Linked DNA regions of Neurospora crassa OR74A. The protein of the gene in region 2 binds, or shares a complex with, the protein of the main gene of each other region. Links are inferred from orthologs where the notes say so. Each region holds a gene or a part of one and is shown on either strand. Other genes may lie near its edges.

Region 1 (4,420 bases), on a different chromosome or scaffold from region 2:
TGGTATCTATGTCTCTACCATAAGCCATCTCTTTCTCTTCTCCTGTCGCATATACTAAAACGCACCGCGATAATAATAGTCCAAGTAAAAAAAATAAGTGGCATCAATGGCCAACACAGCACTGATCGTTCCATAATCTATCCTATTTGCCCTCCATCTTCCTCATCCGCCGGCTCCTCACTTCTTAAAGGTAGCCGTCCTGCCAGCCGCCTTGGCCGTGTAATGCGCTCTTGCGCCCTTGGGTCCTCCCTGAGACTTGTTTTCATACGGGTTAAACCTCTTATTCGCCTTCTTGACGTCCTCCTGAGTCTTGCGAGCACGCAACACCGACGCAGCCTGAGAGTAATCAAACGGCTGATCTTCCTTCTCCTCGCCCTCCGCCTGCTTAGCGGCAGCAGCAGCTTCTTCCTGCGCCTTCTTCTTTGCTTCCTTCTTGGCGGCCTTCTCTGCCCTTCGCTGGGCCTTGAGAGCTTCCTTGGCCTGCTTCTTCTTCTCCTTGGCCGCTTTCCTGGCTGCCTTTTTGGATTTCTTGGATGACTTGTCGCTTGCCTCTTCCTCCTCCTCCTCTTCTTCCTCGTCGGAGTCGTCACCTTCGGCTTCACCACCGGTTTGCACGTCGGTTTCGGTCTGAGGCGCGGAATCCTCCATTTCGGCATCTGAGGCCTCCTCTTCTTCCTCAGACTCTTCCTCGCGCTTGCGCTTGCCTCCGTTCCTAAGAGTGAATTCCTGGTTGACTATCACCTCTTCCGGCGCCGGCTGGGGCTCTGGCACCGCCTCTTCTGGTTGATCCACCTCCATCTCAGCCGTAGATCCGTCCATGAAGTCGGCCGGATACGGAAGGGTGATTTCCAACACGTCGTCAAGCTTGGCAGTCTTCGCAGCCGTGCCGTCCCAGACTGAGCTCAGAGTGACGCCGCCCCAAAATTGTGACCGGTCAGCTTTGAGCTCCTTGACGTCCGGAATGTCGCTATCGTCGGCGATGACCGCAGCAATCTTGGCGGGGGCGAGGATAGATGACTCGCTCTTGAAGATATCCATCATCTTGGGACCGTTCACACCTTCCTCCCTAGCCTTTTGAATGACGTCGAATAGATCATCCAAATGAGACTTGAGGCCCTTGGCGTTGCTATCCAGAATACTCCACAGAGCCTTCTTGTCGGTCGGGAGTATCCGGGCAATGTCGGCCAGAACCTGCTGTGTCATAAAGAAGAAGGGACTCTCGTCCTCACGACGAGCCAAGTTGTCACGCCATTGATGTACGGCCTTGTAGACGGCAAACTGCTCGCCGTTGTAGAGCGTTGGGGACTTCAACAGCACATTATACCACCCGCGGGGTCCCTGGCCGGTTTCGACGTTGTAGCTAAGGTTCTCGTATCGTTGCAGGGCGACATCCTTGGACCTCTCGAGGACCTGCTCGAGAAGGTCAGGCTTCGGCTTTCCGGGTGTTGAGCGCTCCACGAGCTCGTTGATGATCATGTCGAAGATGTAGAGCAGGTAGTGGGTATCCGACCGCGCATAGTAAAACATCTCCTCGGGGAGAGGTCTGATGCGCCAGTCCGCAAGCTGATACTTTTTGTCGGCTTCGAACTCGGCAAACTTGCTAAGCAAATAACCCAAGCTCCTTCCAGGGTACCCGAGAACGGCGCAAGCATGATATGTGTCGAAGAGACCTACAACGTAGAGACCAAGATCTCTCTGCAGCCAGATGACATCCATGAAAGCACCGTGAAGAACCTGGGTCAAGTTAGTCGATAATACAGTGAAAGCAGAAGGCCAGGATGTGTCTCACCTTGACAATGTTGGGGTTCGCAAAAACCTCATTCAGAACCTCAAGCTTGTGCCTCCAAGGTTGAAGAGTATCAATGACCCAATCCTTCTCTCTGGTACTGATCTGCATGAGAGACAACAGTCCGGTGTAAGACCTAAAATCGTGGTGCTCCAGATCAAGCGCAATTTCCTTGGCCTGCTTGAGCTCCTCCAACATCTCCAAGACGCCCTCATAAGTATCAACCCAGATGGCGGATGTCGAATCGATAGGAAGGTACTCCTTGGGTTCGCGCTTCTTGTACACATGCTCAGGGTACGGTGTCGTCTTGATCTCGGTTTCGTAGGGGTGTTTGTATCTGGGAGATTCATGTTAGCGACATGCTCTTATGATATTGGAAAGAAAGGTTAGACGTACTGTGTGTTGTTGTCATCATCGACAAAGGTGGTCAGGCTGTCTTCCAGTGACACCTTGGCATGAGGCTTGGACGACAACAGAGGCTTCCAAGGACCGGTAGCGAAGTTATCGACCTTCTTCTCGAAGTTATTCTGTGGTTTGAGAATGTTGGCTCTCTTCAAGGACCAGTCAAGACGATCGTTAGACGACTTGACGCGTTTTTGGGCGCGGCCCTGGTCGGCGGGGGTAGGCGCATCCTTCCGCTTGATCAATCCGGTGTACTCGTCGAGGCAGGTGTCGGCTTTCTCGAGCAACGAGTCGATCACGTCGACAATGTTCCGCCATTGGATGTCCACGTCGTCGGCATCTTCAAGAGCGCCAACCTTCTGGCCGGTAAGATTCGCGGTCGACTTGAGGAGCCCGTTGGCCAGGGACAGAAGGCGGCCGGAGCTGTTGTCGAGTTGACCACCGACAGTCGGGTTGACGGTGCGCTGGAACTGAAGATCCTCGCTGGCGATTGAGTTGGCGGTTCGGGTCGTAGCGACCAGGGCGGCTTGGAGCGATTCCCTCAAGCTCTTGAAGTCCAGTGAGCCGTCCATATTGGCCGGTGGTTCTGGAGTCGTTGTGGTGTGGACGTCACTGGAAGTGGAAGCCCGGTTCAATTTTCCAAAAATGGTTTGTCGTTCTGCTGCTCTTTGGGAACTTTTTTTGCGGACAGTCCCAGCATGTGGCTTGTGGAGAAAGCGCCAAAGTGAACGGGACCTCGAAAAGTGGAAGCTGCCCGATGGATGCCATCAAGTGGGCCTCGAGTGAGCTGTTCCCGCTCTGCGCTGGTAGAGGTACCTGATGGCCCATGCTGGGAAGTAGAAGCACTAAAGTAGAGAGACTTTGGGCAGCCGATTACATAAGGCCAAGGGGGCGCTTGCCAAGAGCCAAGATTGTGCTGATCTGGACCACCAACGTTCGTTCATCCATCGGCGTCCAGGCTTTTGAGATCCGTCCTGTGACGAAGTGGAAGTCCGCAACCCCATTGTTGAATAGCACCTGGTACTTGTTGGTTTCCAAGCGGACTCACCGGTGAACGTTGATATTTGAGATTCCGTACAACCGTCTTTTCCACCAAAAATATTCACCTGGAGTATCTCACGAACACCCTTCTATACGATCTTTTGCCCAAAACATAGATATACCGTCGATACCCATAAGTCATCGGACACCGTACCAAGCCTATCGTTTTGTTGGCAACACCTACGGTTGAAAACATAGCTCTGGACTTTAAAGATGTCCCAGTCACTCGCCAAGGAATGCAACGAGGCCAAGGAGTAAGTTTTTGTCCTTCATACGGAAAGAAAACAACATCTTAACCAGTTGTAGACGTTACGACACTTGCTTTCTCAAATGGTACAGTGAGAGTAAGTCTACAGGAACAGACACCCCAACTCAGTGGACATGTGTGATACTTATACTGGACAGAATACCTTAGGGGCAATGGTACCGAACAAAATAACGAATGTTCAATTCTCTTCAAGGAGTATAGCTCTTGCCTGCAGGTAGGACGCAAAACCATACAGCGCCCGTACTCTAGCATCGAGATAGCTTACCATATGGCATTTTACAGGTTGCTTTGAAAGAGCGTGGCATCGACAAGCTGCTTGAAGAGGCGCGGGAAGAACTCAAGGACAGCGACTCAACATACATGGGCAAGAAAAAATGTGAGTTTGAGCTTACGAACATGGCCAAAGTTGAAAGGATGACTGACTTGCTCAGAATACCAGAGCTGGACGACGTCTGAGTACCTTACTGTACCACTCGTCGACCAACTCCTTGAACAAAGCCGCAACAATCCAGTTATTCTCCTTACATTGCTCAATTATCTCTTCTCCGTATATATCATATATCGCCTGGTATTCGTGGAAGGACTTTCCATTATGCACACCCTCCATGTCTTGAACAAAGCCCATGTACCAAAAGTGTCACCCGCTGGTCTTTGACTGTACCTTTCTGATTATATCTTCTGTTGAGTTGTTTTCAGTGCTCTCTGTTATGGACGGAAGCCATGGATGACTTCAAGTCGGTTGAATGTTCCCCTTCCAAATAAGGTTTCCCGTCCTTGAGAAGTGGATCCTCCCCAACATCCAATCGGTTCATTACAGAGTGCCGTGCAGTCGCAGCCAGGTCGGGTTGCGCTCGGGGACTCTGGCTTCTGGGCGCTAGAACTTAGAACGCTCCACACTCCCTGTAATACTGCCTAAACTGCTT
Region 2 (3,730 bases):
GGCAATGGAACCGAGCAGGTAGCAGCAGCAGTAGTAGAAGGCGACGCAACCTACTCCGAAACCATTGCTGAAGTGTTCCAAGACTCCATCGCCCCTTTTCGTCCAAACATTTCCGAGTATGACCCGGACCAGGATTCGGATTTCGGTAAGGAGCAGCAAGTGTCGCTGACGCGCAAGGTGGACTTCAACCAGACCGTCTCGGCGTTCACGGGCCAGGACGAGCGGTTTGCGTACAAAAGAGCGACGAGCCGGTTGTGGGAGCTGTGCAGCAGGCAGTGGCATGCTAGGACCGATGAGGGTTGGTGGCAGCCGCTGCCCAAGGAGGCGAGGCATTGGGAGGGCAAGGAGGTTAGCAAGCCGTTGGAATCACCGTTGGTGAGGTTGAATGCGGGGCCGAAGGAGAAAACGGAGATTGTGATGGGGGAGTCGACGGTACTGGAGGAACCGGTGGGGTTGGAGAGGTTTAGGGTTAGGGAGATGAAGGAGGGGAAGAGGTGATGGGGGTGACGGTTGGATGTTGGTTTTCATGTAGATGCTCTGAAGATGATTACATGTACTCTTACGAGTGGTCTATGCAGACTTGTAAGCTATTATGTGATATACTTCCCCGGATACCGCCATATTTTGTGATCAAAGTGGCTTTGAGGCTTCACAAGCCACCACCAGCGTCGTGTTTTGCATAAATGGAAGCTCTTCAACGGCTCAAAGCTGATTGGCGACCCCATCAAATAGGGAAGCATTTTGTTTCTTCTTGGGTTCCCGAATGCATTACTACACGAGCCCCTAGACCCAGCTAGAACTAGACCTAGACAGCCGTCAAAGCAGCAGCAAGCTGCTCTCCTCTCTCACCACCCAAATACACATCCTCGGGCCCATCCGCGCTCACCAACGCCAGCTCCACGGCCTCATTATACCCCTTTGTAACCATATCCTCATCCACCCGCAATCCATTCTCCACCAGCGCCGTTACCACGCCCCTAATCCTCGCAATTTCCCTCATTGTCTCGGGCTCGATCCTGTCATTCTGGCTCGAATACATGGTAGCACTAACCACCTCTTCGAGGTTCGTAATGCCCGTCTGGCCCTTCGCCTCCTCGGGAACCACAGGCTCCACATGCTTTGAGATCCAGACATAGCCATTGACGCCCAAAATCACATCAATCGGACCGCCATTATTCGCACTCTCCAGCGTCCACACCTGTCTGCGCGATCTGACCACGCCTCCACCGCCGCCCGTGCCAGAAACAGCCATGAACACCCCGTTCCTCAGCTTGCCGTACTTGAGCGAGCGCGTGTGCAGCACCGCACCACCATCTTGGAAGAGCTGCTGCACCTCGGCCACCACCAGATCCCCCTCGGCAAAGAAAGTGCGGATCTGCAACTCGTCCGTCTCCGTTCTTTTGCGGAGAATGCCACCAGGAAGGTTGATGGCGGAAAGAGGCAAAGCAGCGAGCTGCGTGGACCCGACGTCGACCCGCCACCGTTTTGCCTGAACTTCGACGATGCGGCCGACTACCAAGTCGCCGACCTCGGGCGTGTAGCGGGCGCGCAGAGGGCGGACGGAAAGAAGCTTGTTGGTGCGCGTCACGATGCCGGCCAGCGAGGAGGTGATGGCTTGTTCACCCAAAGAGGCCGAGGAGAGGTAGGTGCCGTGGCCGCGCATCCATTGGGGGTCCGTGGTGATGCGCTCGCCGGGGGTGACGATGGCGGAGCGCGGGATGGAGTTGATGGCAGCGTTGGTCTTGGGGCGCTTGGTGAAGGTAGAGGAGGCGGCTGCGCCGGCGCCGGAGCGATGACGCTTACGAGGGTGGATGGTCGCGCCGCCGTCGAGAGAGACGCCGCCCGGTTGGGAGTCGGAGTCTTCAGAGTCGGAGGTGGCGTCGGACATTACGTCGTCGGAGTCATGGTTGAGGCTGTGGCGGGGTGGTTGGTCCCGGAAGGCTTTAGGTGGGAGGATTGTGATGGGCATGTTGTGTGGTTGTGGATGGTGTGAAATGGCGATCTCAACGTTGAGTGTTTGTTGGTGTGATGAAGGTCCGAATGAATCCTTCCTTCCTGGTTCCGTTGTCGACCTTCTCGAATCTCAAGTTCTACTATGTGACTATCCTGACCTGCAGAAGTTTGTTGTTTGTGTCGATTCGTCTTGTGGCCTCAAAGGATGTTGTATGGGCCTTCCAGTTGCTTAGTTCCCTTTGGAGTTGATGAGTTGACGTTCAAATGTTTGCGTATTGGAAATTCTGATATTGAAATCGATACGGTATTGACGATTGAACTTTACACGGTTGGTGGGGCCTTTGTTGTGCCTGTCGTCGTGCACGGGCACAAAATAGAGGCACATGCAGTGCAGGTACACCACGCAAAGTACGTAGGTACTCAGGTACTGTGTAGGTGCTGGGCAGGTACTTACCTCCTCCCGTCCGCGTCCTTGAGGTTTTTATCTAGCAACTACACTACCTTATGTAACTACAATGAGTGGATCTGGGACCTTTTCCTCCTCAAACCTACTTCTACTGCAAATTGAAAGCCAACAGTATTGTAGCCGCACCAGTGGCAGCCCAGGCGACGTCGCACGTCAGGTCCTTCGGTAGGTAGGTACACTACTGCTGCAGCAATGACGGGTGTCATCGTTGAATAGGTGTGAAGTGCCTGCCCCAGTGACAACGATTGGAGGTGCCATGGATCCAGATTGCGACGTTCGGAACTACCCCACCCACCTTCTCCACAAAGCCGAGACCCCGGGACAACGGGCCACCCGGGCGCTGGCTGGCGTGATCCACTCCCGGCCGCGGTTGTCGATTTCCAGGGCGGTTTGTTGAGTGAGAGCGAGATTTCCATTGATGACCGACTCGACCGCCCTCGTAAGCCCCTACCTACCGCGATTCAGTGTCCGTACCTGCTTACACAGCACTCTCGAGCTTCCACTTCTTGCAGGATACACCCGTCCCTACTTGCCCGGGAGGCCCTTACTGTTGCTACCGTTGAAAGCCGATCATCCCGTGTTCTTCCACCAGTTGCTGGCATCCCTTTGAACGGCCATTAGTAGTCCCGTCCGTCCTGCTCTTTGATTTGCTCCCATTGTTTACTTGCTGCGGGTTCACGCCGTCAAACATACCTGACTTGTTTGAATTCGAGATTCACGTCATCTACCACGACGTCGGATTCCACCAGACTACGACATAACCGTGTGCTACTCGGATTGGCGCCGATCGGATATCGACTACATATCGGGAACCATAGCGGTGGATCATCCCAAGACTGTCAGTGAAACCAGACCAAGATTCCGAAACCGATTCACTACACTACGCGGTAGATCGGACGGACCGAACGGACGGACGGCCTGGGACGGGCACCAATCGAGGTTTCCAGGTCCATATACACCGATATGCCTTTGCGAGGGCCCCTTCGTCGGCCTGCGCTTGCGCTTCCTCCTTTCACATGCAACAATGTCACCACAAAAATACCCCTCAGGATATCACCATTACCGCGCTCGGTAGCGGTACGGCAGCGTAGAGGACATGCGACACATCTCCCGGTACCAGACACGCGGCCAAAGACGGCCATCTTCTTTCCAGGTTCGTAGTAGTAGTAGTGCGCTGTCCTGCTTTGAACAGAGAACGATGCTGACAGCCATGAGATATACAGGCCAAGGCGTCCAAAGAGTCGGCATGCTCACGCCCTGGCTAGAAGCCTTTCCCTCGACAACTTCCGAAATCATCGACGAAATTGACTC
Region 3 (3,452 bases), on a different chromosome or scaffold from region 2:
TCCCCTTCTTGGCCCTGTATCCTTCCGCTCTGGGTATCTTCGCTCCTCTCCTCTCTCCGCCACTGCGCAATCTTTCCCCAGCGGCAGCAACGGCAGCAACAAGCCCCCAACCTCAAACTCCTCTTTCTCCTCCCTCAACGAACGTACTTGCTCATAAACCGCCTATGGAAGTCGCTCCTCAACAAATCATTGACAAACTCCTTCTTCTTATTCCTATCGTCCACACCCCTCGCCTGGTTCTTGAAGACCACGTCGTCGTCCCACCTCCTCTTGACCGTAAAGTCCGGCTTGTTCAGCAGCGGGTTCCCGAGCGCTATGTCCTTCTCGCGCTGTTCTTCTTCGGCCTTTTGGCGCTCAAGCTCCTCGCGCTCGCGCTTCTCTTGACGCTCGCGACGCACGCGCTCGAGTTCCCGCTGGAGTTCGGCTTCTTCGTCGTCTGAGTCGGAGTCGGAGTCGGAATCAGAATCGGAGGAGTCTGAAGAGGCGTCGTCGTCATCTTGGTTCTTCTGGGCTTTTGGTGATTTGGCATCGGCGTCATCGGCATCCGCGTCGTCGTCATCAACATCATCAGAAGAATCATCCGCATCAATCTCCCTCGTCAACTCTAATATCCTTCGTCGCTTCGCTTCTTGGTCTTCCTCCTCTTTGTTGTGATCACCGCCCGTCAAAGCCAATGGGCGCTTGGTTCCCGCCTTCTCGTTATCGACATCGTCATCACCAGAGGTAAGAGCAGGTCCGCCCCTCAACTTGGCCTTGTGCGCCTCCTCGGCAGCCAGCAGCTCAGCGCGCAGGTCGCGCGTGTCGCGCTCTTCAGATGCCCCCGCAACGCCGCCTTGGCCGGGCTTGCGGAACTTGAGCTGGGTGTAGGCGGGTAGGAGACGCTGGTGGTAGGCGGGACCGCGGAGGGCTTCTTTGCCTTTGGCCTGGTTTTGAGAAGAATGGATGTTAGTGGGTGCACGAGAGGATGGCGGGATTGGTTGGGGATGAGAAGGATGAGGGTGGTGGGATGCGTACCGGGTCGAAGGTAGGTCTGTGAGCTGTGGTCATTCTGGCGGCTTGGTTCGGTTACGCAGTTCTTTTCTTGAGTTGATAGATGATGCCGGTGCGTGAGAGATGAAGCGCGCGCAATAGAGGGCGAGATGGGCCGTGATTTGTTGAGGGGTGTTGGAAGTGGAAATTGCTGCAGAGGGAAGTAAAGTTGTTCCTGATTTGAAGCAATGGCTCTGAAGTCTGAAGAAGGAACTGGCTGGCAGTAGTGGTACAAATGGATCCAATGACGCCCTGGGGTTCAGTCTCGCAGGCGCACTTCTTGACCGCCAGCGGCAAAACCCGCCAAATTCTGGCGGACTTTAGTGGCAGAAACGGTGACCATAGCGACTGCAACTGCAGCACCTACCTAACCAGTGATGTTGCCCGATTCTTTAGATCCGCAACCACGTATTTTCAAAGGGAAAAAGTAAACAAACCTCAGTCAACATGCCCAGAGAAGCAGAACCGTCAGCCAACGAGAAGGCCTTTCTCTTGAAGGCGCTTCAAGACGAACAGATTCGCCTCGATGGCCGTGAATTCGACCAATACCGTCCACTAGAGCTCACGTTTGGAGACGAATATGGCGTCGCCAATGTATCGCTTGGCAAGACAAAGTACGTTTGTGTACTCTCACCACCACCACGCATATCCTACCCCTGAGGCACCAAGATACTAACCGGGACTCCCATCTTTAGAATTCTTGCCAAAGCCTCCGCCGAAGTAACAGTCCCCTTCGCCGACCGCCCGCTCGACGGCATCTTCACCATCGCCACCGAACTCTCCCCCATGGCCGCGCCTCACTTCGAAGTGAACCGGCCCACCGAAACCGAAGTGCTGCTCTCGCGCCTGCTCGAAAAGACGGTCCGGCGCTCCGGCGCCCTCGACACCGAGTCGCTCTGTCTGGTCGCGGGGCAAAAGTGCTGGTCCGTCCGGGTCGACGTGCACGTGCTTTCGCACGACGGCAACCTGACCGATGCGGCCTGCTTCGCCGTCGTCGCCGCCCTTCGCCACTTCCGAAAGCCCGACACCAGCATGGAGAATGGCGTGCTGACGGTGTACACGCCTGCGGAGCGGGAGCCGGTGCCGCTGGGCTGGCTGCACTCGCCTTTCTGCGTGACGTGGAGTTTCTTTGGCGAGGAGGGTGAGACAGCGTTGTTGGATGCGGATTGGATGGAGGAGCAAGTCAGGGTCGCCAGTGTCACGATTAGTTTGAACAGGCACGGAGAGATCTGCCAGATCGCGAAGCTCGGGGGTGTACCGGTCGAGGCAGTTGCGCTACTGCAGTGTACCAGCGTGGCGCTGACGAAGGTGAAGGAGTTCTCCACTTACTTGGATGACAAGTTGGCGGAGGACGCAAAGAGGAGGGATAAGGGTGGGTTTATGGCTGAGTTGAGGGCGGAGAATGATCGCATTGTTGGGTGAAGCGGTTGAGGACGTAAGAGGAAGAAGTGAGATACCCAGGTACGGCCATAGAGCCAAGCAGAACAACAAGGCTGTGTGGTTGAAGGCGAAACCTGACGAGGATATGGGACAGCTCTACAGCTGGTCTCTTTACTTTTCTCAGTCAAAAGAGAACGGCAAGAATTGTCCAAGAGGCAAGTCACTCCGCGGAATGGGCTCTATTATTATGATGGGGGGCGCCGCGAGTGCCGTATCCTCCCTCATGTCTAAAGGGAGTTATCCCGTTAGCGGCGACCGAAATTGCCATCTAACGTTACACAGTGTATCTCGCCATCAGCTCAGTCCCCAAGTCCTCATCTGCCGCTAAAGCTGCCAGATGAATGAGGTGAAAGCATTGGCGCCAGGTAACCACAGGGTCCTAGCCTCTATCTCTGGACGCAATGAGCTCCAAACTTTAGTTTAGACCAAGCCTGAGCCCTAAATTTGCTTCTACGCCACTCCCCCCACGATCCAATCTTGCCCGAATCTGAAGTGATTTGATCTGATGGCAGGGTAATCTCGCGTGATGGCAGGGTGTTGTAGGTCTTTTTGGAAGAAACCTGCGTGATCACGTACCGCTCCTGGCCTAGTTCTTAAGTCTTCCAGGAAGCGATATTGATCCTCGACGGCAGGCAAGATCCAAGCATTGCCTGCCGAACCCAAAGGGAGGATTTGGCTCCCACATAGAATCCTCTGCCCCGGCGCTGTCGATGTTCGTCGATATTGGTCGCGAACGTGGGTTATGTCATGAATTGGTCTTTCATCATCAACCGCTCCCGCTTCTCACCGCATAACCGGCGGCCTCGACTCCTTGTTCCACTTTACCCTTGACCTAACCCACTCCACCGCCTCCCTCACGCCCGTCCCCGTTAGTGCCGACACCGGCAACACCCTCGAGTCTCTGATACTTGCGCTCTTCTCGCCCTCGAAGACCTTCTTTACCAAGCCTTCCTTGATCCGCACCACCTCTACGCAGTCTTCCC

The links.
Region 1: NCU04009 (region 2) and NCU02256 share a complex: the UniProt entries of both Saccharomyces cerevisiae proteins name them as parts of the RNA exosome complex. The link is inferred for Neurospora crassa OR74A from reciprocal best matches to the Saccharomyces cerevisiae genes RRP4 and RRP6.
Region 3: NCU04009 (region 2) and NCU00334 share a complex: the UniProt entries of both Saccharomyces cerevisiae proteins name them as parts of the RNA exosome complex. The link is inferred for Neurospora crassa OR74A from reciprocal best matches to the Saccharomyces cerevisiae genes RRP4 and RRP45.

Annotation. Positions count from the first base shown.
Region 1 is NC_026507.1:3,162,819-3,167,238, forward strand, and holds the start of NCU02256 (exosome complex exonuclease Rrp6), read right to left. Parts: upstream 2,894-4,420; 5' UTR 2,761-2,893; coding exon 2,183-2,760; intron 2,124-2,182; coding exon 1,790-2,123; intron 1,735-1,789; coding exon 178-1,734; 3' UTR 1-177. Other genes in the region: NCU17251 (hypothetical protein), read left to right, coding at 3,443-3,483, 3,536-3,573, 3,635-3,711, 3,780-3,873, 3,929-3,930. UniProt on the Saccharomyces cerevisiae protein: Nuclear-specific catalytic component of the RNA exosome complex which has 3'->5' exoribonuclease activity and participates in a multitude of cellular RNA processing and degradation events.
Region 2 is NC_026506.1:2,432,410-2,436,139, forward strand, and holds NCU04009 (exosome complex exonuclease Rrp4), read right to left. Parts: upstream 2,253-3,730; 5' UTR 1,970-2,252; coding exon 806-1,969; 3' UTR 504-805; downstream 1-503. Other genes in the region: NCU04008 (mitochondrial ATPase), read left to right, coding at 1-498; NCU04010 (malonyl CoA-acyl carrier protein transacylase), read left to right, coding at 3,383-3,572, 3,643-3,730. UniProt on the Saccharomyces cerevisiae protein: Non-catalytic component of the RNA exosome complex which has 3'->5' exoribonuclease activity and participates in a multitude of cellular RNA processing and degradation events.
Region 3 is NC_026503.1:3,487,028-3,490,479, reverse strand, and holds NCU00334 (3' exoribonuclease), read left to right. Parts: upstream 1-1,407; 5' UTR 1,408-1,476; coding exon 1,477-1,643; intron 1,644-1,724; coding exon 1,725-2,451; 3' UTR 2,452-2,934; downstream 2,935-3,452. Other genes in the region: NCU00335 (pre-mRNA-splicing factor cwc15), read right to left, coding at 135-923, 1,015-1,047; NCU00333 (ADP-ribosylation factor family protein), read right to left, coding at 3,253-3,452. UniProt on the Saccharomyces cerevisiae protein: Non-catalytic component of the RNA exosome complex which has 3'->5' exoribonuclease activity and participates in a multitude of cellular RNA processing and degradation events.